3 linked regions of the Tamandua tetradactyla genome follow. The protein of the gene in region 1 interacts with the protein of each later gene in a biochemical or structural test. Links are inferred from orthologs where the notes say so. Each region holds a gene or a part of one and is shown in the gene's direction. Other genes may lie near its edges. The genes, in order: POU2F1, RXRA and POU2AF1.

Region 1 (10,030 bases):
GGGGACCCCTTTTTCACACCATATACATAAGTGAACTCAAAATATATCAAAGATCTAAATAAAAGAACCAGGATCATAAAAATCCTACAAAAAAAATGTAGGGAAACATCTTCAAGATTTTGTGTTAAGAAATGGTTTCTTAGACTTTACACCCAAAGCATAAGCAATAAAAGAAAAAATATATAAATGGGACCTCATCAAATTTAAAATTTTTGAACTTCAATGGACTTCATCAAGAAAGCAAAGTGACACCCTAAAGAATGGGAGAAAATATTTGGAAACACATATCTGACCAAAGTTCAATTTCGAGAATCTGTAAAGAAATCCTATAACACAACATTAAAAAAAGATAAAGAAGCCAATCAAAAAATGGTCAAAAGATTTGAACAGACATTTCTCCAAAAGAAGAGATAGAAATGGCCAAAAAGCATGTGAAAAAATGCTCAAAATCTTAGTTATTAGGATAATGCAAATCAAAACGCAGTGTGATACCACTTCTCATCCATTGGAGTGGCTAATGTTAAAGAGATATCACGTATTGGAGAGGATGTAGAGAAAGAGGAACACTCATTTCTTGTTGTGGGATATGTTAAGTGATAAGAAACCACTTTTGGTGTTTCTTTAGAAAGTTAAGTACAGAATTACTGAATGACCCCATAATCCCAATTCTAGGTATATACTCAAAAGATTTGAAAGCAGGGACTCAAACAGATATTTTCATACCAATGTTCCTAGTGGCATTTTTCACGATTGCCAAAAAATGGAAGCAAACCTAGTTTATAGCAACTGATGAATGGATAAGTAAAATGTGGTCCATACATGCAATGGAATATTATGTGGCCATGAAAGTGAATGAGGTTTGATACATGTGACAACATGGATTAATTTTGAAGATACCATGTTGAATAAAGTAAGCCAGACACAAAAGTACAAATATTATATGATCTCATGTATATGAAATGATTATTATAAGCAAATTCATAGATTAAGAAACTAGAATATAAGTTACCAGGGCCTGGATAAGGCCAGGGAATGAGGAGTTAAAGCTTAGTTCGTAGAGAACTTCTGTTTGGGGATGATGGAAAAGTTGTGATAATGGATAGTGCTGGTCGTGGCACATATTGTGAATGTAATTAACACCACTGAATTAAATATCTGAATGTGATTAAAAGGAGAATTTTTACATTATACATGTTACTAAAATAAACATAAAAAAAGAAAAAAACAGACTACGGATTAAACAAGTAGAACACGGGCTTGGAAAGTATAGTAGCAATTAGTGGAGTGTCATGTATTTGCTGACCCTGAAGTAGAGTGGGAAATGGGCTATGTACCCATCAGATAGTTCTTAAGTGTTATTGATAGGTGTTTTTGATAAGTATTGAATTGTAAATAAATTTCAGTATACACTTTCTGAGAATTACAAATATTCTACACTGTGTATTTTAAGTGTAGATACATAAGTTGCAGCAGTCAGCAAAAGTGAATTTGACATCCCTTAATTAACGTTAAGACATAGCAACAGGATGCATTCATTCCTTTAATAGGGTCCTCTCCATTTGCCTAAGGAGAAGGAGGACCATGGGAATATCTGACACAGGATCAAAATCTTTCTTGGAAAAGCTTCTGGGTACACTGTAAGACATGGACAAAAAAGGGGATCATAGTCTCACTATTTCATATCCAATGCTTATGATCATTTTATCTTGAAAACTTCTTAAAGATTACTGTTGCCAAGCTTGCTTTTCTTCAAGGAAGTATCTATAGTCTATCTACTTTAAGCAGTGAAAATCTTGAACTCCAATATAGGTCAAGCAGAGCCATTCTGGCTGAAGAGCAGGTGGAGGGGCTTGGTTTTCACTCTACCTTAAGATAGGCCCTGTTTAAAAAAAAAAAAAAATTGAACCTAAGGGCTTCATGGAACGTGATTTGAAGGCCTCTGCTGTAAGATAAATTAGTTTTTAAATCACTAAACAAATTGACTTGCTATATCGGAAAGTCAACTTTCATGAACATGTGAAATAGTGGAAGAGGTTTATTAAAAATGAGGATTTTAAATTTAGTTACCCAGGGCAATTAAAATACATTTCCCAGAGTCTGGATTCCTTAGTCTTTAATGCAACTATGTGGCAGCACCAATAGTTAGCTTTAGTGCAAGGAAGGCTGTGCCATGCTCAGTCTCAGTACCAGGCTTCTTTTTAGCCAGAGAAGATCTGATCTGCTCGTCCCTCCTAACATGTTCTGGTCTCTCAAGCGTGATGTCTGTTAAGAACAACATCACTTCATGGCCCAAGAATGCTTCAGGAATTTCAGTCCTCATATCTCTGTCCAAGCAGCAGGAAGGAAAATGGAAGAAGAACTGAACATACTCCATTTGAGAGCGCTACCAGAAATCCCACCCAAGAACTCCTTAGAACTGAGCCAAAATTTAGTCACATGACCATATCTAACAGTAAGGGATACTCGCATGTTGCACTTTAGAAGACACACTGAAGTATTACCACTGCTACTAATGGAAGGGATGGATTTTGAGTAGGTAACCAGCAGTTGCTGCCACTATGAGAAACACACCGTGCTATTTCATTTCTTCAAACCTGTCCATGTGCTATTCTTCATCCCCAGAATACTCTTCTCCACAAGGTCAAATTAACTATACCCAGAAGCCACTTACTGGAAGACTTCACTTCCTTCCCTCCAGTCCATCCAGGCAGAAATAACGAACACGCCTCTCTCTAGTACTTCTGTTCAGAGCATGTTTGTATATTTAATTTTATTTTGTAATGTATCATACGGTAAAATTAACTTTGTTTATGGATTTTAACACGTTTTAATCCATACATCCTCCATAATCAGGGTTCAGAACAATTCCATCACCCTCAAAACGTCCTACCTTCCTACTCCATATGGTCAGACCTTCTCCCACCACTACCCCGTCAACAACTGACATTTTCCATCACTACCGTTTTATCTTTTCAAGAATGTTATACAAACGGAATTATACAATATGCAAGCTCTTGTGACTGGCTTCTTTCTCTCAGCATAATGCCTTTGTGATTCATTGAAGTTATTGCTTGTATTGACAGCTCATTCGTTTGTATTGCTGAGTAATATTCCATGGTATGAATGTACCACCTCTGTTTATCCATTTATCTTTACCTTTAAGGCCTGTGTTTGAGTTCAGCTCTACTGTTTGTTTAATACTGGTGTGCCACTGAACAAGTTATTAACATCTCTATGCCTCAGTTTTTGCATGTTGGAAAATTTTGATAAAAAGATTATCTACTTCTCTGGGTATTGCGAGTATTGATAAAGGAATTGATATACGTAAAGTGCATATTATATAATAATTTTATTTAACTAGCCTGTGACTTTGCTGAGGTTAAAGAAGTATTTTCCTCATTTCCCGATCCTTAGCACCTAGTGAGGTTCGGAACAGAATGCAGATGTTCATCAATATTACTTGAATTAGTGACTTCATCAACTTTTAAAATAATCCCAACACTTATAATTGCATATCCATTATATTTAAATTCAATAAATATTTATGAGCACCTACTATGTACCAGGCATTGTACAAGGCAAACACAGATATTTTCATTAAGAGGAAAATGAAACATTGATACAGACTATTTTAAACTATTTTTCTCACAGAGCTATCCTTCCTTAAATAAAAATTCATTCCACGAAATTTTTCTGTTATGGAAATGAACTAGTAAAGAATGAATAGCATATTCACTAGTTTCAATGACTTTCTGAAAGCCATATTAATTTACTTTTCTACCCAAAGAGCAAAACAAAGATTAAATAGAGGAGAGGAATTTAAATAAAGGCATTTGAGTTCTTTTTCTTAGTGATGATTTCAAATTCATTGCCCACAGAGCAGGGACAAGTACTCAACTTTGTTTCAAACAAGGTTGGTGATTCTGAGACTAACCCTATAATAATGCTAGTGAATATAATTTAGGCCGTATTCCCAGATTAATTGTAACATGATTAAATTTTGCATTTCCTTAACTGCCTGTTAGTTGGCGTGCTTGAAATAATTAGATTAAGGGTGGTCCAATTATTTGGTTCAAATAGTCCAGCACACCCTAAGGCTTAATTACCATGAATAAATCAATCCCACCCCAATTCATTGGCTGTCGCTGACAATAACTTGAACTGTATTTGCACAGTGTGAGGAATTCATTGAGCAGGCTAGGACTCATAATTAAAATTTTAGCCGTTAAAGTAACTGCTGGCTCTCATTCAGAGATTAGTTTTCCTTCATTGTAGAACCTGCAATTCTACCCGATTTAAACTTTAGTCACCTCTCTCTCCTCAAGACATACTAAATAGGGATGAATTATCTTTTACTTGGCTTTCTTCGACGTATATATATATATAGTTGTTATTTAAAACAAAAATAAAACGCAGCTAGAAAATCCGAGGGCTTTAAGAATTCGAAAAATAATTCGACTCGGGTCTTGGTCCAAGGGCACTTTTAACACTAAAGATAAATCTTAGCAACAATTTGACTCATAAAAAAGATATTTACAACAGAAAACCTTTCTCCACCGTCATATTTACTCTGAAAAAAACACAGCAAAGCAAAATCCATGATTAAGCTACTGCTGATTTCGTTGTTTTTACTAAGTCATCAGTTTTCAGCTTACTGCTAGGTTTAAAAGATGTTTCTAAAATCGAAAGGAAAGGGAGAAAAACTCTGCGCAGACTAGGAGGTCTGCTATTTGTTTCGATCCCGTACGCGGCGTTTGCGGGGCTTGAAAGCCAAAGGGAAGGGCGGAAATTGGCGACTTAATAAGAGGCCCGCTACAGAGCAAGGCTGCCCGGTGTTAGAAACAAATAGAGCAGAAGAGATTTGAGGCTAATTAAAAAAGACCACAGGACTCTAACCTTCGAGTTACTCGAGACCGGGTCTCCAGCGTTCGCAGAGTTAGGGGCGGGGATTATTTCGGATTCAAATTTAAAGCGGGCCGCCGGCGCGAGGCTCAACAGGTGCTTCCAGCCCGGCTCAGCGGCCCCAGCCCCCACGGGCGTTTCCGCCCTACCTGTCCACAGGGCCGGAAATTACCGAGCCCGAAAGCAGCCCTTTCATTGCTGTCAGTGTTTCAACAGCACGGAAAGCCTTAAAAATTGCACCGGGAAAAGGGACACAGGCGCTGGTCCGTCCACGAACCCTCCATGCATTTCCCTACTCTCGGCCGCTGTGCCCCCTCTGCCCGTCTTTCGCATGCCATTGGCAACTGTTGGAAGTCGGAGCAAAGCCGACAGACGGACAGGGCGGGAGGAGAGAGAAGTATAAGGTAACCCTTCGACCTCCACAGCTCACAGTCGGGTTACCCTTAAGCGAGGCACGGAGACGTAGCGCATGCGCTGACCGCATTTCAGGCGCGTGGAGAAAGTTGCGCATGCGCGAGGTCGAGACAGAAGATGAAGCAGCGGGGCTACGGGCAAATTGAAGGCGCTTCAACTACCGGAGAGACACCGCGGCCCGGAGGCGCGTGCGCAGAACGCAAAGGGCAGGGGTCCTTCCAAGGGGGCGGGCGGTGAGGAGGGCCGGCCTCGCGCGCCCCCTGGCGTGCACCCAGGAGAGCAAGGAGCGGGAGGGGGCGGAGAAGAGGGAGGAGGCGAAGAGGGCGGGAGGGGGGAGGGGAGCTGGAGCGAGGGAGGGCTTATCGACCGGGCGATTTTGGTTAAAATATTCAAAATGGCGGACGGAGGAGCAGCGAGTCAAGATGAGAGTTCAGCCGCGGCGGCAGCAGCAGCAGGTAATCATTACAGCATTTTACATATTCATATTCATACTCAACCCAGGCTCCCGCTGCCCCCCCCCGCGACTTAGCATAATTTATTAGTACTCAGGATTATTATAATTAACGGCGAGGAGATGGGGGGCCGGGGAGCACGGAGCCCCCGCCGGGCGCCGAGCGGAGGGGGAAAGAGGCTCGGAGAGGCCAGGCGGAGGAGAGGGGGAAGACAAGGGGCAAAGGGGGCTGCGATCTACCGCCCTCCTCCTGCCCCCGGCCCACCCTGCCGCAGGCTCGCCCGCCCGCGGGCACCGGCCCTCCTCCTCCGCCGCCGCCGCTGCCGCCGCCGCCGCCTTCTCGCCGCGGTCCCCGAACCCGAACGGGGCCGCGGGGCCGGGGCAGAGGGAGGACAATAAAGACACTTTACATATTCATAGCTGCTGGGCCGGCGGGGCGCGGCGGGGCGCGGGCGGGCGGGCGACCGGGCCACCGGGGCCGGGCGGGCGCGGGGTGGGGGGGCGTGGAGAGGGATGGAGGTGGCGGCGAGCACAATGCCGAGCAGGCGGCGGGGCCGGAGCGGACCCCGGCAGCCGAACAGCAGCACGCGTGCCCCCCACCCCCGGCGGGGGGTGGTTCTCGGCCCTCAGCGTGGGGGGACGGCCTGGAGGGCGGCCGTGGGTGCGCCCGGGGAGAACGCTTCGCCCGCACTTTGCCTCTGTGTCCGGGTCGGAGCGAGGCTGAGCCCGGGGGTCACGGCCCCGGGCACTTCGGCCGCGCCCCACTCGCCCCCCATGTGGCGGCCTGACTCGAGCCAGGCCTGCGCTGTAGGTGGGGGGGAGGGGTCGTGGGCGCTGCGAGGTCGCCTTGGGTCGGCGGGGGTGGGGAGTCCGCGTAGGGGTCCGCTTCGTCCCCACGGATTTGGACTGGGTTGGAATGGGACGCTCCGGGAAAGTTCCCTTGGAGTGGGGATGTTCTCCAGGGCCGCTCTGTGTGCCCGGGACCATGGGTCAGCAGCAGCCGTCGGTCCGAAAAAAGCCCTTTGCCTCCTGTCCGCCGTGGTTTCGCGGGGGACTTGGGTTGGAGGTGACTGGCGTTGACTGATCCAGATCTTTTCCCCTGCCCCTCAGCATGGGGGTGGGGAGACGGGGACCCTGGGGGGCTTCTTGTCCCGCGGCCCAGAAACGTCCAGAGGCCACCTGAGAACTCGCTTATAAAGGGTTGCCCTCCTGCTCCTGCCCCAGGCTGGCCTGACCAGTCGATAATCTTGACTTCCCCTGTCCTGGTGAGTCGGTGGGTAGGGACGGGGGTCCTCCTCCCTGCTTCTGTGCTGGTGTTTTCTTGCTGGATGCTGGGTCCTCTCTACTCTCTGCTTAGCCGAACCTCTCTCATTTGAATAATGTCTAATTCGGGGAGGTTTATATTATTGAAATGGCCGCCTGGCTTTCCCCGCCTCTCATGTTTAGTAATTCAGACCTTTAATAACAGCCACTCACAGCCCAACGCCGTGTTTATATTTTACATTCGCCCCATGTGCTTTTGTGGTTCGATATGATTCTTTTTTTTTTTTTTTTTCTTCCTTGGCAGTCCACGGGGCTCTGAGATCAAACCCAGGCTGTGCTGCGAAAAGAAGGGGAAGTCTAGGCCTGGCCTCCTCTAGCGGTTGCCTAGGCCTCACGTTTTCTGCCGCTTGATTTATTTACTAATAACTAAAATGACTCTCCCCCACCAACTGCCACACACATACCCCACCTCCGCGGGCAAAACAAACCCTCTTGGGGCCTTACCAGCATTAAAACAGCTCCTAGCTAAGCATCAACTCTGCTGGTTTGTTTTCTCTTAAAAAAGACTTTCTTACGGTTTGCAGTAATATTAGGCCTAAAGAAAAAAAACTCTTATTTCTCATTTTCAGGAGCTTATGAAATCTATTTTGGTTTAGTACAAATAAGTCACTTTGTTTGGGAGATAGTCCCACCCTCCTGACCCCTAAGTTAAACACTTTCAGGCTTTGCAAAGGTCTGCAGTATTTGTAAAACCAATACTGTCTTTTCTAGGATTCATGGAATAGCTAACTATTATAGAAGTTCCACTTAAACAGCACTTTACTAATTTCTCAGTGCTGTGTTCCCTTTCCAGCCTCTTCACTCTTCATTCCCATTTGAGATGGGGGCTGATACTAATTTCCTACTATGATTGTCATTGACTTGCTTATTTTAATTGTATCACTACTGAAAACAAAAATGGGATTCTGTTTTCTTTGAGTTTTGTATCATGGTTAAATTTGTGAAAATAGAATAATAAACACAGGCGTTGGGCCTACCTTTATCTTGGAATGTATTTCCCTCCCAGCATACTGGCGCCTTTTCTTTAAGTTGTCAGAATTGATTTTATGTTTTAGCTAGATTTAGGATGGTTGGTCTGTGAAAGACAGATTAACTTCTACTGTTTAGAGAAAGTAATAATCTTGATTTTTGGCCTTTACCTTGGTTAAGGTTTCATTTTTGTCTTGCATAGTTTTAAGTGTGTTTTTCTGAAAAATAGTATTGCTTCTCATTGGTAATTGTTTACCTCTGCTGGTGAAGGGAAGTACCGGACCATTGTTTGACACTAATAATGTTAAGTCTTTGAAATTCTGTTAAGGTACTTTATGGTCCTTTGAGAGCTACATATTTTGTGGGACTTCAGCTTATTTATTTTGTGGGGTCTTCAGCTTAATTTTTAACAAAATTATAGATTTGATCCACTAAAAATAAGCCAATTTCAAATAGCAGTTCTCACCATTTTTCGTCTTTCATCCCCAGTAGGAAGACCCAGAATACAGCAGGAAAAAAAAATCTGTGGCTTCCATGAGAATGTTCAGGTGAATGACTGCTTCAGAGACCTGAAGCATGAGGTCAGATGGACCAAAAGAAGTAATATGATTTCATGCCTTAAATAGCATGTGTGTTTGCACCAGATTCCCAAGATGTGGTCAAGCTGATGATGTCATTGGACAGAGGACAAGGTGCAGTTAATTTGATTTATGGTCCTGAGGTGAAGTGTAGCAGTGAAACCTTCTCACAGGGAAACCATTTATCTCAGGACAATTTCCTTTATAGCTTCAATTTAACCACTATGGAGGCTGTAGATATTTTATCCAAGATGATAAAATGTACAGTGCACTTTACAAACAAAATTTCACTGTTATAATTTTTGTGATACAGAAAAGAGTGGGGATTGTTAACAGGCCTTTTATTTTGGCTGGCTTTCTGTGTCATTGTAGAAGTGCATTTTCCCATATTCACAGATGGAGACTTGGGTTATAAATAAGTATAACGGTAGAAGTAATCCTTACGCATGCTTATTTTAGATGGGTTCTTTGTGAACCCCAAACTCCTATAGGAAACTGAATTTCTTAACTTAATCTGAACATGGCCCTAGCTAAAGAAGAAATTGTTTGCCTTAGAACCTGTTTCAATGAATAAAGTAGATTCAAAGAGGAGGAGGGCTGTATATTCTTTTAGGTGGAATTTATGATGTTTAAAATAAGATCGATTTTGTATATAGGAAGGTACGAGCTTTGAAAACTTTTTTTTTTTTAATAATTCAAAATTTTTCTTCATTTATCTCAAATTAGTCTGGACAAGTTAGTGTGTTTTGTTTTTGATTGACTAGTGATTTCCACTTTGTCCCATTGTCAGGTAATGATTCTACTTAGAATGTTTAACATATTGGTAGATTATCTTTTTAGGGATTTTTCATCATAGTATTAGCTAGTCTATCTTAAAGTGATGATTAAAATATCCTGGGAATATGATAGAATTGTGGTGCTTTATTCCTGATCCTAACTTCTGCGCCAAGCTTGGTAAAGTGTTTTTTAGTCCTCATAAGCTTACAACCTGCTTGTCTTCCTTTTGTACAGTATATCCCAGAAATATCCAGAAAATCCATTGTCACTCCCTTCTTAATTTGCCTCAACTATGACTGGTACTTTTGAATTAAAGTATTGAAAATTCATGTGACAGCTGACCAAATGTTTTTAATTTCTAAAGGACAGTGCTGCTTCCAAGCCATTACTGTGAAAGTAATTTTTAATGTCTTCCCACAAAGTAATTTCTAATTCCTGTCATTTTGTCATTGTCAAGAATCCCTATAGTCAAGGAAAAAGCAAATAATATTTGTTTTTCAGGTTTAAAGAGTGTATTCTGTCATATTTTAAATTTACTATTCTTTATATCTATAGCTAGTATAAAGCAGTAGGAAATAAAATGTTTCATTGCTGCTTAGGTTGAGGTAATTTACGC
Region 2 (10,639 bases), on another chromosome or scaffold:
GGATGTCACACACTTCTATAGTGGTGGGTAAAGGAGCTCTACTCAGGGGGTCCCAGCTCCCTTTTCCCTGCCCTCCCAACCCCAGCAACCCCCAAGAAACCTCCAGGCCCCCGAGCGGGGCAGGTGGGCAGCTTGACAGCGTATCTTGATGGAAGGAACAGCCAGGATGGAAGCAAAACAACCCAGCAAAACAAAAATCCACCCCCAAAGCCAGCCCAGCCCACACCCTGGGGCCTTCTTATCTGCATCTCCAGGGCCCTGTTGTAATCCTGGGTCCTGGGCTTTTGGTGAAACGCTGATGGGCAGATATGTGCCTGGGCCCAGCTGTCTGGGGCAGTCGAACAGGTTTGGTTCCTACTGGGTGGAGCAGGCTTTCCCTCTTCCCAGGAGGAGAAACCCGGGCAGGGTTCATGGCAGGGAGGGCCCCCATACTGCCTGCCACTCCCCTGTGGATGAGACTAAGGAGCAGCTTGTAGCTGCTCTGACTAGGGAGAAGTGACAGCAGGGAGGAACTAGAGGAGTTAGAGGACCTTCCAAGAGCTGGGCACCATGGGGTGTGGGTGCACAGACTGACTTGGATGCAGGAGGCCCTGGGCTGCAGTGAGGTGTGGCCCCAGGTGGGCTTTCTCAAACAGGTCCTTACTGCCTGCGCACCTACCCGCTGGCTGGCTCCTCTGGGCCATCCTGGAGTCTCAGCACCTCTCCCAGGTCAGAGTAGAGCCGCTGAATTCCGCCTGGCCCTGCTGGGCATCCTGTCCAGGGGGTGGGCATGATCCTGAGCTGTGCCCAAGGCTAGGCAGACTGTCACCAGCCCCTTTCAGGCAGGAGGCATTGAGGGCACAGGTTGTAGTGGGGGTGAGAAGTTAAGAAATGGGCAGCTGCAGTCCAGGGCCAAAGGGCTAGAGTGGAGCTGGAGGGTAGGCTTCCTGGAAGAGGCAGCAGCCTGTGGGTTCTAGATAAGGGAACAGAAGGAGGAAAAGCATGTGCAAAGGCCCAGAGGTGAGAGAGAATGGGATGCCTCTGGAGAAGTTCTGGGGTTCAGCATGGGGCATGGGAGTCGTGAACTGAAACTGGTCTGGTCTGTGATGGCCTGGGCAGCAGGTTCTGTATGGTGTCTGCATGTGACCTTGTGGTTGATGGGGAGCATGGATGTGTTGTGAGCAGGTGTTGATTGGGCTGGTTTCAAGGAACCCGCCAGCCTTTGGTCTGGATGCTGCCATAGTTGACCAGTGCTGCTCCCTACCCACTGCTTTCCCTCTCCCAGTCTCCCCCTCCCCGGTTGTCAGCTGGATGGGGCAGGGCTGATAGGCAGATCCTCTGGGCAGGCCTGGGCCAGGGCTGGGGCCTAGTGGGGCTGAGCAGCTGTCTTAGGCATGTTTGCAGGTAGGAGGTGGGCCGTGCATGTGGATGGGTGGGGACTGCAGGCAGACAACATTCTCTGTGAAGGGGGAAAGATGTTGGGGTCCCAGAATTCCCCCAGAGTCCAGTGGAAAGGAAGAGATGGGCAACTCGGAAAGGACAAGTTGGAAACAACTGAGAGACTCATACCCCGGGGGGGTCTTCCATCGAACCTTGAACTCCCCTCCCCGTTCCCACTTCTTGGCACACTCTTTGGTAGAGGCCCCCCTCAGTTCAGGGAGCGGTTACTGAGAACCTCCTGGGCAGGTGCCAGGTGGAATGGGCGCAGGAGAAGTCTGAGGCAAGGCCCCAGAGACCCAGACCTGCAGCTGAGAAGTTGGGGACCAGTGCTGCAGTGTGGACAGCTGAGGCTGGCAGAACACCTGGAAGCAGCTTTGACTGTGATGTGTAAAGAGAGGGAGCCAAGGTGGTCCTGCTGGGGGTGAGGGTTGGGGATCCCCTGCCTGCAACCAGGGGCACTTTGGAGTAGAATTCAAAAGCCACTCATCTCACAGTACAGCTGGGGAAACTGAGGCCCAGAGCAGCACCTGCATTTGAGCAGGGGCTCCTTCTCCTGACTGTCTGTCTGATGGACCCACTATGGGAGGCCTGGCCAAGACGGCTGGGTGTCTCGGAGGGGGCTGCCCTGGGCTCCCAGGTGCCGGAGCTCAGTGCTGTTCCCTGGCAATCTTGAGCTAATTAATTACTGCATGAGCAGGCACTGTGTGTCAGGGGTTGAGGGGGCTAGGAGCAGGGGTGGGCAGCCCTGCATCCCAGGGAGGTGGCTGACCCCAAGTGGGAGGGCTGGATTGCATTCTCTGGAACTTGTCTGAGAAAGAGCCCCTCTCCCAGGTTCTACTCTAAATCCCCAAAGCCCAGGAATCATCTGGGGCTGGGAGCCAGGAGAGCAAGGGGTCTGGAGCCAGGCATGGGTGAGGTGGCAGCAGGTATCCCTTCCCCAATGCCAGGCTACCTGCCCCCTGAACCCCGCCCAGCGTGGTCTGACCCTACCTGTCCTGAAGTCTCCAGGAGCACACTGCCTGGCCCCTGGGCCCTCCTGCTGGGTTCCCCCTGGGGCCTGTTGGAAAAGAAGGCTTGGCTCTGGAAGGGGGTTTGGGATGTGATCTGGGTGGGCTGGGGAGGGACTCCCTCAACTGGGGAGGGGGTTCAGATCCAGGCAAGCACGGTGTACAGGATAATTAGCAAGTGCTCATGCTGGCTGCGGGCTGGGGTTTTCTGTGTATTGGATGGTCTCTGCTTGCCGAGAGGTGCCCGTTTTACCGTAGAGGAGGCCAACTGAGCCCCAGCGATAACTCTGCCCTGTGCCGGGCCGGGGTCTCAGAGCTGGGCCCATGTGCGTCACTTTGGAGGGCCGGCCGCCTGAGCCCCTGTGGGCTGCAGATGTTGCTTGTGGTTGGAGAGGGAGCAGCTGTCCCTTCCCTGCAGCCACCCCCATGTGTCACGGGCCTGGCTTTCCCCGTGGCCAGAGCCTTGCGGGCTCCTCCGCCCAGTGGTGTTGGCAGATGTCCTGCAGTTGGACCCCAGCTTATCGTGCCCAGCTCTGAGGTCCTGGGTGAGCCCTGTTTGCACCCAGGGCCTCAGTTTACCTTTCTGAAGGTGTGGCATCATGGGTCGGGGTGGGTCCACGCTGGTGGCACTGGCTCTATGTCCAGTGCCCTAGAGGTGAGTGCCAGCACTGCAGTGATTCGCCTCCTCCCTGGGTGGGATTGAGTGGGCCATGGGCCCTTCCCTAGGTGGAGGATAAATCGGGGATAGGGACTGCTAAGAGAGGACTGTTGGCCGGAATGTCCATGTCTTGGGGTCCCTGGGCATGTGGGCTGCCCCGGGCAGGGCTGAGTCCTTGGGAGCCTCCACCTGGGCTGGGAGGGGGTGGTCCTGGGCCCAATGCTGTGCCTGTGGCTGGAGGGAGGGCACCCAAGCCTGAGGGTGGCAGGGCCATGGGGGAGGGGGGCTGATGTAGAGTGGGGATCCCCGTCTGGTCCCAGACCCATCCAGTGGCTGTCAGCACCCTGGGGTGAGCCCCATTTCCCCCCCCCGCAACCCAGGGTCTGGGAGCCCTTCTCTGTGGTCAGGGACTCAGGGGGTTTCCTGAGCCACCTGCGTCCAGGGGTGCCCTCATGCCACAGGCAGCAGGGTAGCACTTGCAGCCCACCGCAGGGGTGCTAGGCAGGCTTTTCTGTGAGCGCTGAGGACGTTGGGTTGGCACCTGTGTGCTGTCTGAGGGCAGGGGCGCCCGACGTTTTGTGTCTCTCGCCGTTTTAGCCATTTGGAAAACATAAGAGGCTTCTCTGAGCACTTTACAGCTAGAAAAAGAAAAACAACCCTCGAGGAGAATGGCTCCTACCTCAAGGGAGCAGGGGGTTTTGTTGGAGCCACAGATCACCAACACTCAGTTTCTTTCTGTTCCCTAAATCTGAAGGTGAATTAAGGCATCTCACTTGAACTGTTGAGGTCAAAATTGCTCTGACTGTGAAGTTCAGGCGTTAAAGGAGATGGTCCAGAAGCGATGGGAAGGCAAGGTGTGTGTTCACAGTTGGGGCTTTTGGGTGGTGGTCAGGTGGACGCAGGGCTGCTGCCACTTCAGGGAGCACTGCCTCTTCAGGGAGCACTGCCTCTTCAGGGAGCACTACCTCTGTGCCCACATGCTGGGATGGACCAGCCGACAGGCCTGAGGAGGGGTATAGGGTCAGCACCTCAAAAGGTGGTAACGGAAATAGCCCTTTCCTGGGCACCCAGCTGTGCAGGTGGCCTGGCAACCATTCCTGGGCATGGCTCGGACAGGTCAGGTCAGGGTTTTGGTGGGACCCCCTCCCCCAATGCCTGGAGCCCCTCTGGACTCTCAGGTCTGCTGCCTGGTCCTGGCACCTGAAGTGGAAAGTGCTGTAGCTGTGGACAGAGGTAGGTCAGCTCAGGCTGGGTTGTGCCAGGCAGAGGGTGGCAGCCATGGCACAGTGGGAGTTTAGGGAAGACAATTTGAGGGGCTAGCTTTGTCCAACCCTGCCCCATGCTGGCATGCAGCTGCCAGGGAACACCTGGGCCTCAACGTTGGGTTGTGGGAGGAAGGAGTGTGGGGTGAGATGTCCAAGGCTGGGTGGGCCTCCCCGGCCCTGGCTTGGGGTCCCAGCCTTTGAGCATCCTCCATCAGGACCCTGAATCTCTGCCTCTTCTTCCACCCACCTTCCCTGATACATTTGAGGACACTGCCCCAGCCAGGAAGGGGCAGGCCTCCCGCGTCTGGGGGCATCTCCCAAGGTAGAGAATGGAATCTTCGGTGGCGAACGTGGGCAGCGCTGGGGACTGAGAAGGTGGACTGACCAGGGGCCTCCAGAGAGCACCTGATGCGGTCCCACCCCCATAGTCTGCTGCGCCTGGGCCGAATGCTCTCCAGGTCCCCTCTGTACCCTCTGTCGGAGCCCAGGCCAGGGAGACATTTGGGGTCTGGGTGTGGGGTGTAGGGACAGAGCAGACCCCTGCCTTGGCTGGTGGAGTTGGCAGACCCACCTGCTTGCAGGACACATCCTGGGGGAAGGCCGAGTGTTCTTGCGGCCTTGGCTGGCCCATGGGCCGTGGCTGGGCCGGCCGAGACCCCCTTCCCCTCGGTGGCCCCCCAGTGCACTGTGCATGGGAGCCAGTGATCAGGTCGGGTGTGTGGACTGGGGCCACCGGGCCACCCTCAGCCATCATGAGAAGGGCCCATTTGAGACCAATTTGCTGTCCCTTGCAGGCCGTAGAGCCCTCACCAGGGGACGCTGTGAGGGGCTGGGCTGGGCCAGGCAGGTCAAGGGGTGTCATTAGACACTCCCTGCAGGGGCGAGGAGACGTATCAGCTGGAAGAAATACCCGACATCCCCCTCTCCACTCTCATGCCCCTTCCCCCCTCTATCCTGGGTTGAACCTGACCTAGGGCGTCCTGGCTGGAGAGGGCTGCCTGGGGAAGTGAGCTCTAGGAGATTCTGCTTTGCCAGAACCTTCGTGGACCATGGGGGTGTCCATGGCCCATCTGCACCCCACCCCTTTTGGGGGATACTGTTGACATTGTTAGGCATGGCTCATGCCAGGCCCAGCTGTGGGAGATGCTCCCAGGACCCCCTTGGGAGCCCCCTGGGTGGCAGGGCCTTGGGGTGGTGTGCTTGCAGCTGTGCTGGCGCCATGGAGGAGAGGCTGGGCCTGGGAGGCGTCTCTGCACAGCCACTGGCTGGGTGGGTGGCCTCCCCGGGGGGTGTGCTCATGGCCTCCAGGGGGAAGGGCTCATTTTCCTCTCTGCCGTGGCCCCCCCTCTTGGGTCCAGGTCCACTGGGCCTTGGCATGGGCTCAGGAATTCCAGGCTATCTCAGCCCCTTCCAGCTTCCTCAGCAGGGCGCAGAGCTGCTTCTGTCCTCGCGGCCCCATCTGGAAAGCGTTAACACCGTGTCAGCGGCAGAGGGCCGGCAGTGGCGGGCTCCTGGGGGAGCGGAAGCCGCCTCCTCCCCAGCACACCCCCCGCAGCCACTCCTGCCCTCGGCTCCATCCCCAGTGAGTTTGTGGAGGCCAGGCCTGTGGCCAGCAGGGTGGGGCTTGAGGCTGGGGAGGGGCGGGTAGGCTGGGGGGAGCTGGTAGGGTTGAACGTGCTGGGGGAAGGGTGAGAGGTCTGGGGAAGGGGCAGACCCTGGTGGCGGAGGGGGAGGGGCACACCCCTCCCCCATGGGGCTTCTAGGGGCTTGTCCTTGAGGGGCCTTTGAAGCCTGCCACCTTCTAGCTACAGCCGGCCCACGCATATTCCTGGTGCCCACATGTCCCTCCAGTGGGAGACACGAATGGGGGACCCACATCCACTCTCTGGCTCCCCTCCCTTACCTGCCTCAGCTCCTGGCCCCATCCAGCCCATTCTGGGCAGCCAGAGCTGGTTCCCAGGCCTTTGTGCTGACCCTGCAGGAACGGCCTCATTCGGCTGATGACACTTGTTAGTGTGGCCTTCTGGACATTCCAGCCCTGGGACGTCCCTGCCTACCCCACGTGACCGGCCATCAGACAAACACTGCTGGGCTCATGGTGAAGCTGTGCCTTCCTCTCTGGTGCCACCTGCTCGGCCGGGACACCAGGCTGCAGATAGGCCTTGGGCTCCTGTGGCCGCTGGGAACCTGGCTGCAGTAGGCGCGGGAGCAGGGGACAGGCGTCCCCAACTGAAGCCTAGCGGTCCTGGGGCTGCAGCACGTACCTTTAGGCTGTTTTTCCCTCCATCTCCCCCAAGCTGGTGAGGGACCTGCAGCCCCATCATCACTTCATTGTCACTCTAAAGGGCCCGTGGTGCTCATTCCCACGAAAGGGCACTCGGTAAACAGCTTGGGGGTCTCTGAGCCCCATCCCCTTGGAGTAGCTTTCCCTGCTGGCAGAGTCCACCCTGTGCCATCAGGGCTCTGCTGGTGCCTGGCTGAGCTGTGGGAGAACTTAGCCAGGTGCCCAGGGAAAGGTACTGGTCTAATGGAAGAAGGGCAGCCAGGCTGCAGTGAGAATATCCTTCTTGCTGTCCCCACTTTGGGGACCTGTGGGGCTCAGGTGGCAGAGGGCTCCGAGGAGCTGGCTGTCCTGCTTTCACTAAGAAGCCGGTGGTGTCGTCCTGCATTCGACAGGTACACATGGGTGTGTGAACATTTTCATGCCTGCACACATGTGTGTGAGACAGTCAGGCAGAAGTAAAGACAGACAGACAAATGGAGACAGAGTTCCAGAGCCCTGGAGCAGCCCCTGGGCCTGCTGGCTGCCTCTGTGCTGTGGTCAAGACTGCGCCTTCCTGCCTGACCAGGTGGCTGGGGACAGCGAGGTGACCCAGGCCTTGCCGCCTCGTTCCTGTCCCACGTGCTGACATGGAGGCGTGGGCTCCTTGCAGAACTTCCCATGCAGGACTCTCACGCCTGGTTCATGGCTGCTGCTCACCCTGGCTCCCAGGCTCCCTTGGCTGGTAGGCCCAGCCCTGGTATTGCAGATGGACTCTGGGTGCTGCCTTTGTACCTGTGAGGAACCTGCCCTCGCCTGTGCCCATCCTCAAGGACGGGGGTCCATCCCCGAGCCGTGGGCAGCAGGGAGCTGGGAGGTGCCATACCAGGGCCAGCCTCACCCTTCCCATGGCAGCTGGCAGGGGAGGTGGCAGTGGCCCTTTCCCAGGAGCTGCTGCATGTCAAAACCGGTCCCTGACGCAGCCCATGGTGTTGAAATAAGAGCTCGCAGGTTTCCCAACATCCTGTCTTCCGGTCACAGGACCGGGTGTCAGGCGGCCCTCGTGGGGTCCAGGCACCCACTTCCCTCCCTGGGACTCCGTTTCCTCATCGGGTGAGTGAGAGGAGGTCACCCCTCCCTCACGGCTGCTGAGCACACAGGCGGAGGGCATGACGTTTGGCAAGGTGACATCACTCCGGGTCCATGTCATCTTATAACGTCCCCATTTGACAGTGGGGGAGACTGAGGCTCAGTTGCTTGCCTTGGAGTGGAGGGGCGGGATTTGAACGCAGGTGTTTCTGTCCTCTTTTTCTCCTCCCACGAGGAAGAGAAGAGGGGAAGAGGTGGGTGGGGTGTCTGGCTGACATGGGAAGGGCAGTGGCCCTGTGCCCAGCACCCTGCCCTGTCTGAGGGCCAGCCTGGGGTCTGACCTTGGCTGCCCTGAACTGGACCTATAGGCCCTTTGCTGGGCTGGCCACCCTTCTTGAGGTGGGACCTGGGGAGCCTCGGGCAGCCCCAGTGAGCATCTCTGTCCCTTTGGCTGCAGTGGGCCTGGCCTGTGAGTGGGCAGGGAGAGTGGCTGCTGTGGGGGTGAAGTACAGTTGTGGTCCCTTGTTCCAGATAGTGGCTCTAGGGGATACACTGGGGCCCTCCCCTAACCTGGGTGGGTGTTCTTGGGTCTGCTGTTCAGGGGAGGAGATGGAGGTGCAGAGAGACTGAGTGACCAGCCTGGGGACACACGGCTGACAGGCAGGGTCTACTGCTGGACAGTGCAGTCCTACTCTCTGAATTCTGTCTCGGACATGGGAAGAGAGGACACAGTGGAGCGTTATGCACTCAGGGTGGATTCTGTCTGCTGTTCTGTGCTCTGTGACCTAAGCCTGTCTCCCAGCCTCTCTGATCCCTTAGGGGCCTTTGTGGGCTGGGCATGGAGATGGTTGACAGTTCTGAAATCCTGCTCTGTCGGCAAAGGGGCAGTGCGGGAGGCTGGGGAGGGGCGCAGGAGCCGACCCGACCCCAGCCCGATGCCCTGCCAGGCGGGGCCTGGGATTCTACGAACCCTTGTGGTCAGACCTCACCCAGCTGTGGCGTCTGCCTGTCGCCTGTCAGCAGGGGAGGGGCCCCGGGCCGTCTCTTATGGAGGAGGAAGTAGGTGCCCAGAGAGGGCAAGGGGCTTGGCCTGGGCCGCACAGCAAGGCGCCGCAGAGCTGGGGGCAGCACAGAGAGGTGGTCGCCGGGAGACCTGGCCTGGGGAGGTGGATGTGGCGCTCTGGTAAGGTACAGACTGCCGGGGGCAGGGTGGGAGGAGACGTGGGTTCTAGCCTGTGGTCTGTGGCAAGTTTAGCCTGGGCTAGGATGGCAGTCGTGGTAAGGATGGTGCTGACCAGGGTAGCTCTACTTGATTGAGCATGTGCTGTGCCAAGAACCGTGGCCTGTGCCGCCTGCACAGGGGCATCTGTGAGCCCCTCTCCCAAAAGAGGTGGCATCCCTTGGTCTTCATGCTTCTCAGTCAGGAGGTGGCAATGGGCTGGGGCCCTGGGCCACAGCTGGACAACTGCCCGCGTGTTGAAGGTGTCTGCAGGCCTCTTCCCATGTCTTGCCAGACACTGGAGCCCATGGTGTTATACCCGGAGGGAGGTATATGGTGCCTCCTCCAGGAAGCCCTCCTCCATGGTGCCCCTGGAGAGCGCCTCCTCCTCCTGCCCTACTGGGGGGTGGGCCCCTTGCGTTCTTAGAAGAGACCGCTGCCGACCCGCGACTGGGTGTGCCCTGGGCAGGGCCCAACCTGCAGACTGCCTGTTCCCGGTCCAGGGGGCGTGGGGGGAGCAGGCGTCCTCTTACCCAGCGTCTCTGTGCCGGCCGTGTGTGCAGTGTGGCCATCTGTGGTCTCGGTCGATCCTCACAGCCTCTGGGAGCTGTGAGCACTGTCTCCTTTCAGAGTGAGGATGCCGCGAGCCCACGAGGCTGAGTCAGCCGCTCCGGCCCCGCCCAGCCCCGAGCTGGGCAGCCGGAACTGGCACCCGCCTGCCCGGTGGCCGAGGAGGGCTGGTGCCATGGCCACTTGTCCACTTGTCCAAAGAGCCGGCTGGCCCTTTGCAGTGATTGAGGGCCGCTCACTCAGGGTGGGCCGGCCAAGCACCAGGGCTCTGGGGCCCCCAGTTCCAAGAGGAGCATCTGGGGGGGTCTCTTCCTCCTTCCTTCGTGGCCCCTCCCTCATCTCAGTATGTTGAGTTCCAAGGAAGTGTAGCTGTTTCCGTGGACACTAAGAATATGGTCCGGAGCTTCTTGAGCTGCCGGGGGCAATGAGCTTAGGGCAGGGAAGTGGGTACCCGGGTTGCACGGCAAGGCCGCAGCTGTGAGGCATTTGAATCAGTCTTCTGCCTCACAGCCACTTCCTTCTTCTGCAGAAGAGGAAATAAAGGCTCAGAGAGGCCGTTACACCTGCTCAAGGCTACACAGCATGTCAGTGCCTGGGTGACTACTTGGGCCCTGTTACAAACCGGTGCTCGCTCAGCTGCTTCCTAAGGGTGTGTCAGTCCTGCAGCCTTGTCCTGGCCCATTCCTGGCGTTCCTCCCCCTACCCCATCCTCTCTTCACTAGGTCTTTATTTGGCACCTGCTATGTGCTAGGCTCTGGACTGAACACCGGGGATGTCACTATGAGCCTGCCCTCAGGAGCCTTTGGCTAGGTAGGAAGAGGCCCCTACCTGGCTGGGAGGATCAAGGAAGGCTTCTTGGAGGAGGTGTTGTCTAAATGGAGCCTGGAGGACTGAGTTGGAATGAGCGGCCAGGAGGAGGGTGGGGGAGTTGGAGGCCAAAGGAAGGGCATGTCCAAGGCTAGAGGCGAGAGTGCCTAGTGTGTTCTTGGAAATGACCCAGTTCCCAAGGCAGAGGCAGAGAGTGGGCAGGGCCGGGGCACCACAGAGGGGTGTGAGTGGAGGAGGGACCGTGCTTCAGGAATAGACCAGGGTGGGTGGTGGCTGCTGGCCTTGCTGTCTGGTGGGTCCCAGGAATCTTATCTCCCGTATTCC
Region 3 (10,297 bases), on another chromosome or scaffold:
AAACCTCGCAATTTTTTGTTTTAACTGGATCTAAGAGGCAACATGTCGTATTTTTTAAATTTTTCGTAAAATGTATTGTGGCAAAATATATACAATGTAACATTTTCTCATTTAATCAATTTAAGTGTACAAGTCAGTGGCATTAATATCATCAACAATGCTGTACAACCAATACCGCTACCTTTTTCCTAGTTTTTCATCACCCTTAAACAGAAGCTCTACTAATTAAGCAATAACTCCCCATTCCCCTTCCCCTAGCCTTTGTATAGGTGTATTAGAGAAATTATAAGTTTACAGAAAAAATCATACACAAAGTGCAGAGTTCCCATATACCACCCTATTATTAACATCTTGCATTGGTGGGGTACACTTGTGGTAATTGATAAAATGACATTTTTGTAATTATATCTGTGTCTTTTAATTGGCGAACTTGACCTTTACTATAGCTACTACACTGGTAGAATTTATCTTTTCATCTTATTTCTATTTTTCATGGACTGGATTTTTAAAAATTCCCCTTCCTGTTCTCCATTGGAAAGATCCAGTTCTCTTCTGCTGGTTTTAAAATTAAACATTTTGCTTTTATTCTTTTGGTAGTTTCCCCTAACAACAGATCCATGCTAATGGATTTGCTTTTATTATTTCCCCTATTGATTTCCTAAATTTATCAATAGCTATATTTTCCTTTTATAAAAAACAATTAGTGAATTTTACTTCATCTTGCTCTTCCCTAAGGTCACACATTACCCACCTCCACAAATTAATTAGAATATAATGTAAACAGTGTTCCAGGACTTGTGCAATCATGTTGATATTTAATTATGGGTTGTTCTGTCTATATTTTTTCTTTTCTCCCAGTTTTAAGAAAACTCCTGTAATTATTTTACCCAGCTACTTGATCACCTTTTGTTCCATATTTCTTGCAGCACCTCCTGGTTTACTGTTCTTATTTGAAAGCTTCCTCCAAAAGCAATTTTAACATGAGACTTGTATGTCTGAGGATGTTTTTGTTATGCTATGATATTGAATGATAGCTTGGTTGGATTTGCAATTTTAGGGTCAACAGTCTTTTTCTTCATTACTTTAAAAAATTTCTTCATTATCTTCTTGCATCCAATATTTCTGTTGATAAGTGTGATGTCAATGGGATTCTTGTCCCTTAGTTGTTAATATATTCTTCCTCTCGGTAAACTTTTAGAATTTCCTCTGTCTTAGTTGTTTTTGAATTTCACTATAATGTGTCCACATGTCAGTGTTTCCTTGTCTCTCTTGTTTGTCCATGAACCCTTTCCAATGTAAGATCTTTCATCATTTTTTTTTTTTTGGTAATTCTTGGAATTTGTTTTCATTCTATCTTCAAGACAAGGACAAAACAAGGATAATCACTATCACCATTGCTGTTAAGCACAGCAGTGGCCAGAACTAAAAGGAAAGTAAAGAAATTAGAGATGTAGGATTGGAAGGGAAAAGATAAAGCAATCATTATCGTCAGAAGAGATGATCATTTACCTAGAAAGACCATCATAATCAACAAACTATGGGAATAAATATGAGAGTTTAGCAAGCATGCTAGAAATAAGGTCAACTCAAAAATATTAATTTTTTTCCCTGTGGAATCAATAACTGGCTAGAAAATATAATAGAAAGTAAGAGACGTTCACAATGCCAACAGAGACTATAAAGTAATTAGGAATTAATTTATCCAAGAAAGCAATAGATTCCCATGGAGAAAAAATTGAAAGTCTAATCATAATGAACATGGAATGTGATCTGATTAGATGGAGAGCTATCCCATGCTTAGCTGAACCATATTAATATTATGAATATTGATTCTTGCTAACTCTATAAACTCATTGAAATCCCAAAGTTCCAGTTGGATTTTTTAAAAGAACTTGATAAAGTTATTCTAAAATTTTAAGATGTACTACAGTAAATAATAGTGAAAATTAATGAGACCAATAAAATAAAGCAGAGTTTGGGGATAGGCACATGTATATATAGATGCAGCCCTACAAATCAATGGGGGAAAAGAAGGTTTGTTGAAGGGATGATATGGGGAAAATTAGCCCACTATATGGAGAAAAATAATACTGGATACTTAGAACTTCACCAAAGGGAATCTCCAGTGGAAGTGGGAAAGGTAAAATTCCAAAATTAATAGAAGAAAACGTAGGAGACTGTTCTTATTATCTTGAGATGGAGGAAAAAAACTTAAACAAAATCCCCAAACACAAACTTTAAAATTAAATATTTGTATTCAAGAAAGGATACCATGAATAAAGTTAACAGATGACAGATTAGGAGAAGATATTTATAATGAGTAAAACTGACAATATCTAGAATTATACATCTAGAATATACAAAGAGCTCCTGCTAATCAACAAGGAAAAGGCAGCAACCCCAAAAGAGAAATTGGCAAATGATATGAACAGGCATTTTACAGAAAAGGAGACCCAAAAGTTTAACAAGGATATGAAGAGATGCTCAAATTTATCAGTATTAGTAATATAAATGAAAACAACAATGAACTATCTTTTACATCTATTTTATTGGTAAAAATTAGAAAGCTGGACAATGCCTAGTGGTAAAATGGTAACTTGTGAAATCTCATGAACTGCTGATGGGGTCCTGGAGAGCATTCTGGTTGTGATAAGCAAATTAAATATGTGCATCTTCTTTGACCCGGTAATTTCCCAAGGAAAATTTCACATACCTCTGTAAGGGGATGCATATTGGAATGTTCCTTGCTGCTTTGTGGAGAGAGGATGTTTGGAAGCAATCTGATTAAGTAAAATGCAGTGCTTGTACACCATGGAACACTTTGCAGCCTATAGAAATAACAGATTGTGTGAGTATAGCCATGTGAATGAATTTGAAGCATAGTTTTAAATTAAAAAATAAGAACCAGTACAAGCTCTATATTCAAGTTACATGAATTAAACACCATTTACATGAGTTAAAAATACATGCATGTAAAACAATATACATTTCAAGATGTGTACAAATGTCTAAAAACAAAGAGATCTATATCAACCAGATGAAAGCAATATCTTTGATGGTGAGTATCTGATGGGGGTGAGGCAGGACAGGAAAAAGAATAGACATGGAAAATGGCAAGGACAGTGAATGAATCAAGGAATGAGTGAGTGAATGAATGAATGAATAAATAAATCAATAAAAGAGGAGCATTTCATGGGCCAATAAGGATAAAGGGCCATGGACTGAGGAGAATGAAGAAAGTTAAAATGAAAAGAAAATAGAAGGCCTAGCAGAGGCAATAGTGCATAATGAACACTCAAATATTTATTGAATGAAAGAAGAAATGAAGTCTGCAGTGCATCCTTGTGAAAAGGTGAGTCTTTTTGCAATATAGATCAGTGCTCTTTAATGACTAATTTTAGGAGTTGTGATTTTGGTATATCATGTTTTTCTAAAGTGGGGGCATACCTGTATTTGGAGACATCTGGATGGGGTTACTGGAATATTTTTCTCTTCCTGTACGTCTTGAGGTATGGCTTAAAAATGTCCACCATGTCTCTTTTGAACCATGCTATATAGTTTGTGTTTTGACTTCGAGTCACTAAAAATGTCAGTCCCGCAAAGATTTGCCATTTTGATCAAGTCTTGGTTTCAAAATCCCTGCTATCCAGGGTCTCTGCTGGAAGCACTGAGTCGAAATATCCTTCCTGAGTTCAGAGGCTGTCAGAGGTACCAGGTTTAACGTTGGCCATGATGGTGGACTTGCCTTCTGAACCTTGATTTTCTCTGCCTCTGCAAGAGATCTGATTTCTGGGAGCACTTCTGGGTTTCTTCTATCGATGCCTTCTTTCCAGTGGGCAGGGATTCCTCCCAGGAGATATTAGTTTGTATTTATTTGCTCCAGGTTCTAATATCAACGATCCTATGTATCTGCTAATTTATAAGGCTGACATTTGGCCTTCATTGATTTCGATTTAATGAATATCTACTAGTGTAACTATTTAGAGATTAGTCTCTAGTCAGACGAACTTGGGTCTAAAACCAGGCTTTCAGCTAATGGCCCTGCAACCCTGGGCAAATTAAATGTTGTAAGCATGTGTTTGCTTCTCTGGAAAAAACAGATGATGATAGAAATTTCCTCACAGAGCTGATGGGGTGACTAAATTCGATAAAGTATGTAAATGTAACACTGGTCTTGGTGCATAGAGAGCATTTTAAAAGCTAGTTATTATTATTATTACATGTAAATGATTATGCTCAGCCTGTGGGGAGAAATAAATTTGAATAAGAAAACGGTCTTAATTTCATCAAACTCGAAGAGAATAAGAGAGATAACCACAGGACAAGACAACGTGAGAGAGGTGCTAGCAAGATCACACACCTGCCTAAGAACCCGCTGAGACATTCGGAGAACTGCTTCTTTGTTTGATAAACAAGGAAACCGAGACTCGGGGTTACATGGCTGGCTTAAGGGGCCTGGCCCGCATGTGGCACAGCCTCGGTGGGACCCCAGGCCTCCTGGGACTGAGCTGGGCCTAGTGGATTGGCCACCAGTCCCAGTGGAAACTCCTGAGTGTGGCCCACGGCCTTGCGACACTGCCACTCGTAAGTCCCTGGTGCTGCCAGCTGCCCCGGACCCTTCACATGTTGAGGATGAAGGCTTTGGGGTGAGGCCTCATAACTCAGGCAGGGGCAGTCCTCTCAGTCTTCTGACTGGGTCATTTAGGTGGACAACATCTCCCCACAGGATCTGCCCTGAAACCAATAACCCCTTAGAGACAGTAGTTCGTGACGTTGTTGCATGAACTTGTACTGAGGACCAATTACGGTTCAGGTCCTGGATGAGGCACTGGAGAAGCCAAGATGAAACCTGCTTGAGGAACCTACAGCCAAGCAACAACCCACAGCGAGCGAATGAACAAAGCGCCCCGAGAACTGACACAAGACGGGCTCTGGGCCAGGAGGGTTGGTGGGTCAGAAAGTGTTGCACCAAAAAGGTACCAGTGATCGCTTGATGCAGTGCGGTGGACAGAGAATCCCTGGGGGGCCCGGTAGTCTTGTCCCCAAACTTACTGGGAACTAGGACCTGAGTTTGTGAACTCCAGATAAGACACTGGCAGAAGTTTCCAAACTGGGAAGGAGCCCTGTGGCCTTATACCCCACATGCTCTAAATTTCTCACATTTCCTTTGAGAAAGTCTGAAGACTGGTGGGCCCTAGGAGAGAGGCCCTGCCCCCATGGCGCCTGGAAGTCCCACCTGAGTGACCAGCTCCTGTAAGAGAGCATGGGCTTCTGTCTCCTCCTCTCTTCCTTGACTGAGTCAGCCTCTTTCTCTGTATGCATATCGGTCACCAGAACCAGTGTCCCCTATGTTTAAGCACGATCAAGCCTTGCCATTTTGGTAGTGGCTGGGGGCGGCAGTGGTGGTAGTTACTGTGTTTCAAAATGTGATAAACAGAAAAGCAATATTAAAAGAATGAGGAGGTTGTTCAGCGAAGCTTGAAGAGATGACAGGTGTTTCCTCCTGTGTTGAGAACCAGTGACCCTTGGGATCGCATTTCCCGTTGAGCGGGTGCCCATGGCCAGCCGAGCCCTTGCTGGCACCCTAGTGGTGTGTTTGCCTGTGCAGGCACCATGGAAAGCTCAGGGATTTTCAGAGATCTTTGGGCTCATCATTGGTGCTAGGGGGTACAAGACTTGACACACACACCTGCAGTGCACGCTCCTACCCAATGTCACACTCATGCACATGTCACATCAGACCCTGGCCACGTCTGGCTGTCCACTGCCTCCAGTGCCGAGTTGTTGCTCAGTCCACGCATGGCATGGTCTGCAGCCAGCGGGCCCCCGAGGGGGCGCGCAGTGGGGCAACAGGCCGCGCTGCTGAAGAAAAAGTGCACCCGTGCCTGCGGTGGGAGGATGTGATGACGCTGTGCCCCCGCGCAGCGGGAACTCAGGCTTTTAAAAAGCCGAGGAAACATCCTCTGAGCAAGCAGTGGCTACACTGGAGGAAAGCACACCCAGGTCTCACATTAAAGAAGCCAAGCTGTCTGCTTCAAAGAGAAGAGGCAACATCCTGTCACAGAGCATGCTCTGGCAAAAATGTAAGTGGTTTGGCCACGGTCGCTCAGAGCCAAGTAAGCTCGGATGAGGGTCTGGGTTCACCTGCTGGCCTGGGAGCGAAGAGATGGTGGTGGTGATTGGGGGGGGGGGGGGGGGGGCGACGTGGGTTGTGAGTTCCAAGCCAGGAAGCAGGGAGGGAGGAGGCGGGTAAGATGGAGCCCGGTGGAGAAACCAACCTGTCAGGGTGATGCTAATTTTCCAGGCTGGAGGGGAACGAACTAGTGTTCCAAGGTGGGACAGCTCATCGTCCCTCCGCTTCTGTGCATGATTCACTGTGGTGAAGAAAAGGCAGTTTATGATTCACAGAACAAAAGCAAAATGTGATATTGGTTTGGGGCTGGGGGCGGCGGAGAGGCACGAAGTTATTTACACTTTATTTTTATAAGCAGGTACTCTTTAGCCTGTTTTTTTTAAAATTCTGTGGGCCTCTTTCTAGCTGAGTTGCTTAGCCTTCTGCCAAAGGCATTATTTACCCCTAGGGATAAGTGGGGGGCAGTGGGGAAGCCTGTCTTCACTCACCTCACTCTCTTGCCTCTTGTCAGTCTTGTTCCCGTTCGGTGCAAGGGGGCAGTGGTTTTATCGTTGACCTTAATTTTTTATGGATTTGTGTGGCCCAGTTGTGAACTTTAATTTTCACCATGGGGGATGGAACAGAGATCTAGTGAGCCCCGTGCTATTAATAATTGAAATCACACCAAGAGTGCCTACAACATTCCTTCTGGGAGGTGACAGAGCCATCTCACCATCACTCACCTTCACCAGCCTTGGTGGCGGACTTCCTCAAGGAAGAAGCAAACCAAACAATTATCCTCTCTTTCTTTTAAAATTTCTTTTAATCACTTTAGGTATTTCTTAACTCAAGTGAACGTAATAAGAGAATCTAGATTTACAAAAAGAAAGATGTTAGGGAGCATTTACTTATCTTGCAAAAAGATATTCCATTAGATTCCTTTAAGTCCCCAAAGAATAACCTCATTGATTAATGTGACTTAGAATCATGCGATCACCAACTCATTGTTTCTTTTATTTCTTGCGTAAATTCTCTAGACTTGTGCTTATTAATCACAGAGGTGTGATTTCAAAATTTCTCAGACTGTAAAGCCTCCTTATTGTTTGATATTGCCAAGATGCCTTTTTTTTTTTTTAATAAAAAGAAAATAATTTGGATTTGAGAGTTGTGGAATCCTTCCAGATAGTTTGGGATATTCTGCTCTGGGTGGCATGTACTGTTACCAGAAGGAAGGATGATGGGACTAGAACCTACCCTGCTGAGGCAATGCCAGCCAGCCCCGAGGGAGTGCTGTGTGGAGCAGGGCATGTGGGAATTACTGTCTTTGGATTCCTGGGAGCTGCTGAGAATCCAATACCCTTACTCTCAAAGCTGAGTTGTTTGGTTTTGCATGAGTCCCTGGAGCAAATTCTATTTCAGCTCCTTTCTTACTCTGAACAAGTTACTTTCCTTTTTTTTCTTTCTTTTTTTTTTTTTTTTTTTTTTTAACTCTTTAGGTTTCTCATATGTAAAATGGGGGTAGAAATAGTAGCCATTCCACAGTTGCCCTTGGCAAGCTAAGCTGTTGCTGAAGTGGTATTGATTGCTCTAGTTCTGCTTTAGTATCTGAGATACGGGTAGCTTCCTTGAGTTCGTGAGATGCCGTGTTCTCCCCTTGAGGACATGCAGTACTTGTTTTCTTCCTCAATTCCTCCTCAGACATTAGCAGCGCTTTTCAAATGGAGGTTGGAGGGTGTGTTTCCTGATCTCACCCTGGAGGTCAGGCAGGCCAGGTAACATTCCATCCATCAGGGAGACTCAATCCCAAACTCACCAATGGCATAACTGGAAGGAACATACCCACATTTTCAGATGAATGAAAAAAATCAATATTTTCTTTGATTGTTCTTTGGAGACTAAAAGAAAATCAGGGAAGGCCCTTGGGCACTGGCCCCTTTGCCTTCAACCTGACCCAAGCATATGGCATCAAGGTTACCTGGATGACTAAACACTGTGGGAAAACCAGTAAGAGCAGGGCAGCCTCGGCAGCCCACTTAGAATCACCCGATGGAAGGGCAGGGTTTGAAATCAGACACCAGGAGTGCTGAAAAGGCACTTTCTTTTTTCAGAAAACACCCTCGAGGCATGAGCTGAAATGACTGTACCTTGGGGTTCTGGAAAGGGTTAAGAAAACATTCACTCTGTAAATCTGTTGTCTCCTCCCCACCTTGCCCATGACCTCTGTTTGTAGAGTAGATGTGAACATGGGCTTTGGTTAAGATCAGAGATTAGCATGACAGCTCAGAACTGCTGGCACCCAGAAGGGGAAATCTTAGGCCCCAACTATGGATTCAAGATTTGCCTGATCGGCCGATTGGACAAAGAAGTGGCTCTAGCTGCAGGTCCTCTCCCACCTCGGTTCTGCATTGTCCTGCAGGCTGCAGGTAGCTGTGAAGAACTAACCTCCCTGCCAACAAGAAGCCCCCTTTAAAGCCCACAGGTGACAGTGCAGTAGAGACAGAATAAGAGTCAGAGTGAGACAGGTCTGGATTTGACAGCTGGCACTGCCAGTTTATCATTAACCTTCCCACATTCTTAAAAATCTGAGAAATGGGCCTTTAGTGCCTGTCTTCCAAGGCTTTTATCAGAACTGAAGTAGAGAATGTGAGTGTGACCACGTTTCTTGGTAAGTAGTGATAATGGTGAACGAGCACCTTCCCATTGTAACCTCCTGTGGGCACATCTTAAATGAGCAGGCTTATTATGATCTGCTCCCTTTGCCACATTTTCATTGGAATAGGGATAAAGGCACAACAAAAATATACTGGACAATAGGATGATGCAAACAGCTTTCTCAAGGGCCTGAAGTGAGTCTGCAAACTCTGGCCTGCTGCCTGTTTTTGTAAATACAGTGGAATACAGTCAGAGCTCTCCTTTACATAGAGTCTACAGCTGCTTTGCTACAATGGCAGAATTGAGTAGGTAAAACAGAGACCATGCGGCCTGCAAAGATTAAGATATTTACTTTCTGGTTCTCTATGGAAAAAGTTTGCCGACCTCTGGTCTAAAGTGATTTGGGTAATACTTTAGGCGTTCGTTTCCTGAGGTTACTCAATCTCCTGGGGTGGCATAATGCCAACTCCAGTGGTGGGCAAAGCTTGCGATCGATTGATTAAATGATTTGCGCAATGCTGAAAATTGATTTAATTGACTTCATCCTTAACAGTGATGAAACTGGGTGTGATAAACTTGATGCCACTTGTTAGAAAATAAACAAATTGAAAACTTGCCATTTATCATTGGTGTTTGCTTTAGGGAAAGTTTTAATGGAAAATGCAAGGAAGGTTTGACTGATTTTCTTTGGACTGGCTGATTGTCATGGTGTCTCGAAGACTTGGCCTTGGTGTGTCCTTGCTATAGCACCCATCTAGCATCTTAGGTTCAGGAATGAGGTATTTTCAAATTATTGTGACATAACTGTGCCTTTGCTTTCAGATAACTTGAGCAAAACAGAGGTTCACCAAACAAATAAATTTGGGTCTCGAAAGTCTCATTAGCATTAACATAGAACTATGCTCTGAGGATTTACTTTAGGATTCCACTAAATAGTCAACTTTTTTCGGATAGTTATAGTTGCATTTAGGTAAGGAGAAATGTGACATACATATAATTTTTGGAATCCTGTATTCTGCATAAAGTTAGGCATACTTACAACAAGAAATAGTTTAGGTCTGTGGAAAGCCTTAGCCTATAGCCTAAGATGAATCTTTACTTCTTATAAGTTTATCCACTGATGTAGTGGTTCCTGCAGATAAGCATAAATAGGCTCCAAAAGGGAGACAGAAATTGAAAGGCACAGAAGGAGGTGAAATAAATCGCACTTATCTCCCAAGAACACAAGGATTTAATTGGCAATGACCAAATGGTTCTCAAGGAGGATTCTTTAGCTCCTTTTCCCTAAACTAAAGAAAAATGCCAGCATTGTGCCCCTCCAGGCCCCAAAAGTTACTGAGTCAGAGGTTTTGAAAGTTTCTTTCAATTTAAACTTGCAAAGCTGTATTGTTGTACAGTACAAGAAAGAATCAAAATTTCCTACACTTGTTAGCTAAATATCTGGACATTTAATTCACTAAGAAGTCCTGTAAATTTTCGTGCTTAAATTCCCCATCACAGAATAAATGTAACAGGTTCTTTTTTTTCCTCTGA

What was found.
Region 2: the proteins of POU2F1 (region 1) and RXRA form a complex in vitro, tested with the Homo sapiens proteins (2 studies listed by BioGRID). The link is inferred for Tamandua tetradactyla from reciprocal best matches to the Homo sapiens genes POU2F1 and RXRA.
Region 3: the proteins of POU2F1 (region 1) and POU2AF1 are reported together in a solved structure, tested with the Homo sapiens proteins (2 studies listed by BioGRID, with this or other methods). The link is inferred for Tamandua tetradactyla from reciprocal best matches to the Homo sapiens genes POU2F1 and POU2AF1.

Annotation. Positions count from the first base shown.
Region 1 is NC_135330.1:20,606,070-20,616,099, forward strand, and holds the start of POU2F1 (POU domain, class 2, transcription factor 1), read left to right. Parts: upstream 1-5,291; 5' UTR 5,292-5,710; coding exon 5,711-5,771; intron 5,772-10,030. UniProt on the Homo sapiens protein: Transcription factor that binds to the octamer motif (5'-ATTTGCAT-3') and activates the promoters of the genes for some small nuclear RNAs (snRNA) and of genes such as those for histone H2B and immunoglobulins.
Region 2 is NC_135328.1:13,492,865-13,503,503, forward strand, and holds the start of RXRA (retinoic acid receptor RXR-alpha), read left to right. Parts: upstream 1-6,053; 5' UTR 6,054-8,745; coding exon 8,746-8,881; exon of another isoform or gene 8,882-8,886; intron 8,887-10,639. UniProt on the Homo sapiens protein: Receptor for retinoic acid that acts as a transcription factor.
Region 3 is NC_135334.1:30,070,450-30,080,746, forward strand, and holds the start of POU2AF1 (POU domain class 2-associating factor 1), read left to right. Parts: upstream 1-5,933; 5' UTR 5,934-6,067; coding exon 6,068-6,083; intron 6,084-10,297. UniProt on the Homo sapiens protein: Transcriptional coactivator that specifically associates with either POU2F1/OCT1 or POU2F2/OCT2. It boosts the POU2F1/OCT1 mediated promoter activity and to a lesser extent, that of POU2F2/OCT2. It recognizes the POU domains of POU2F1/OCT1 and POU2F2/OCT2.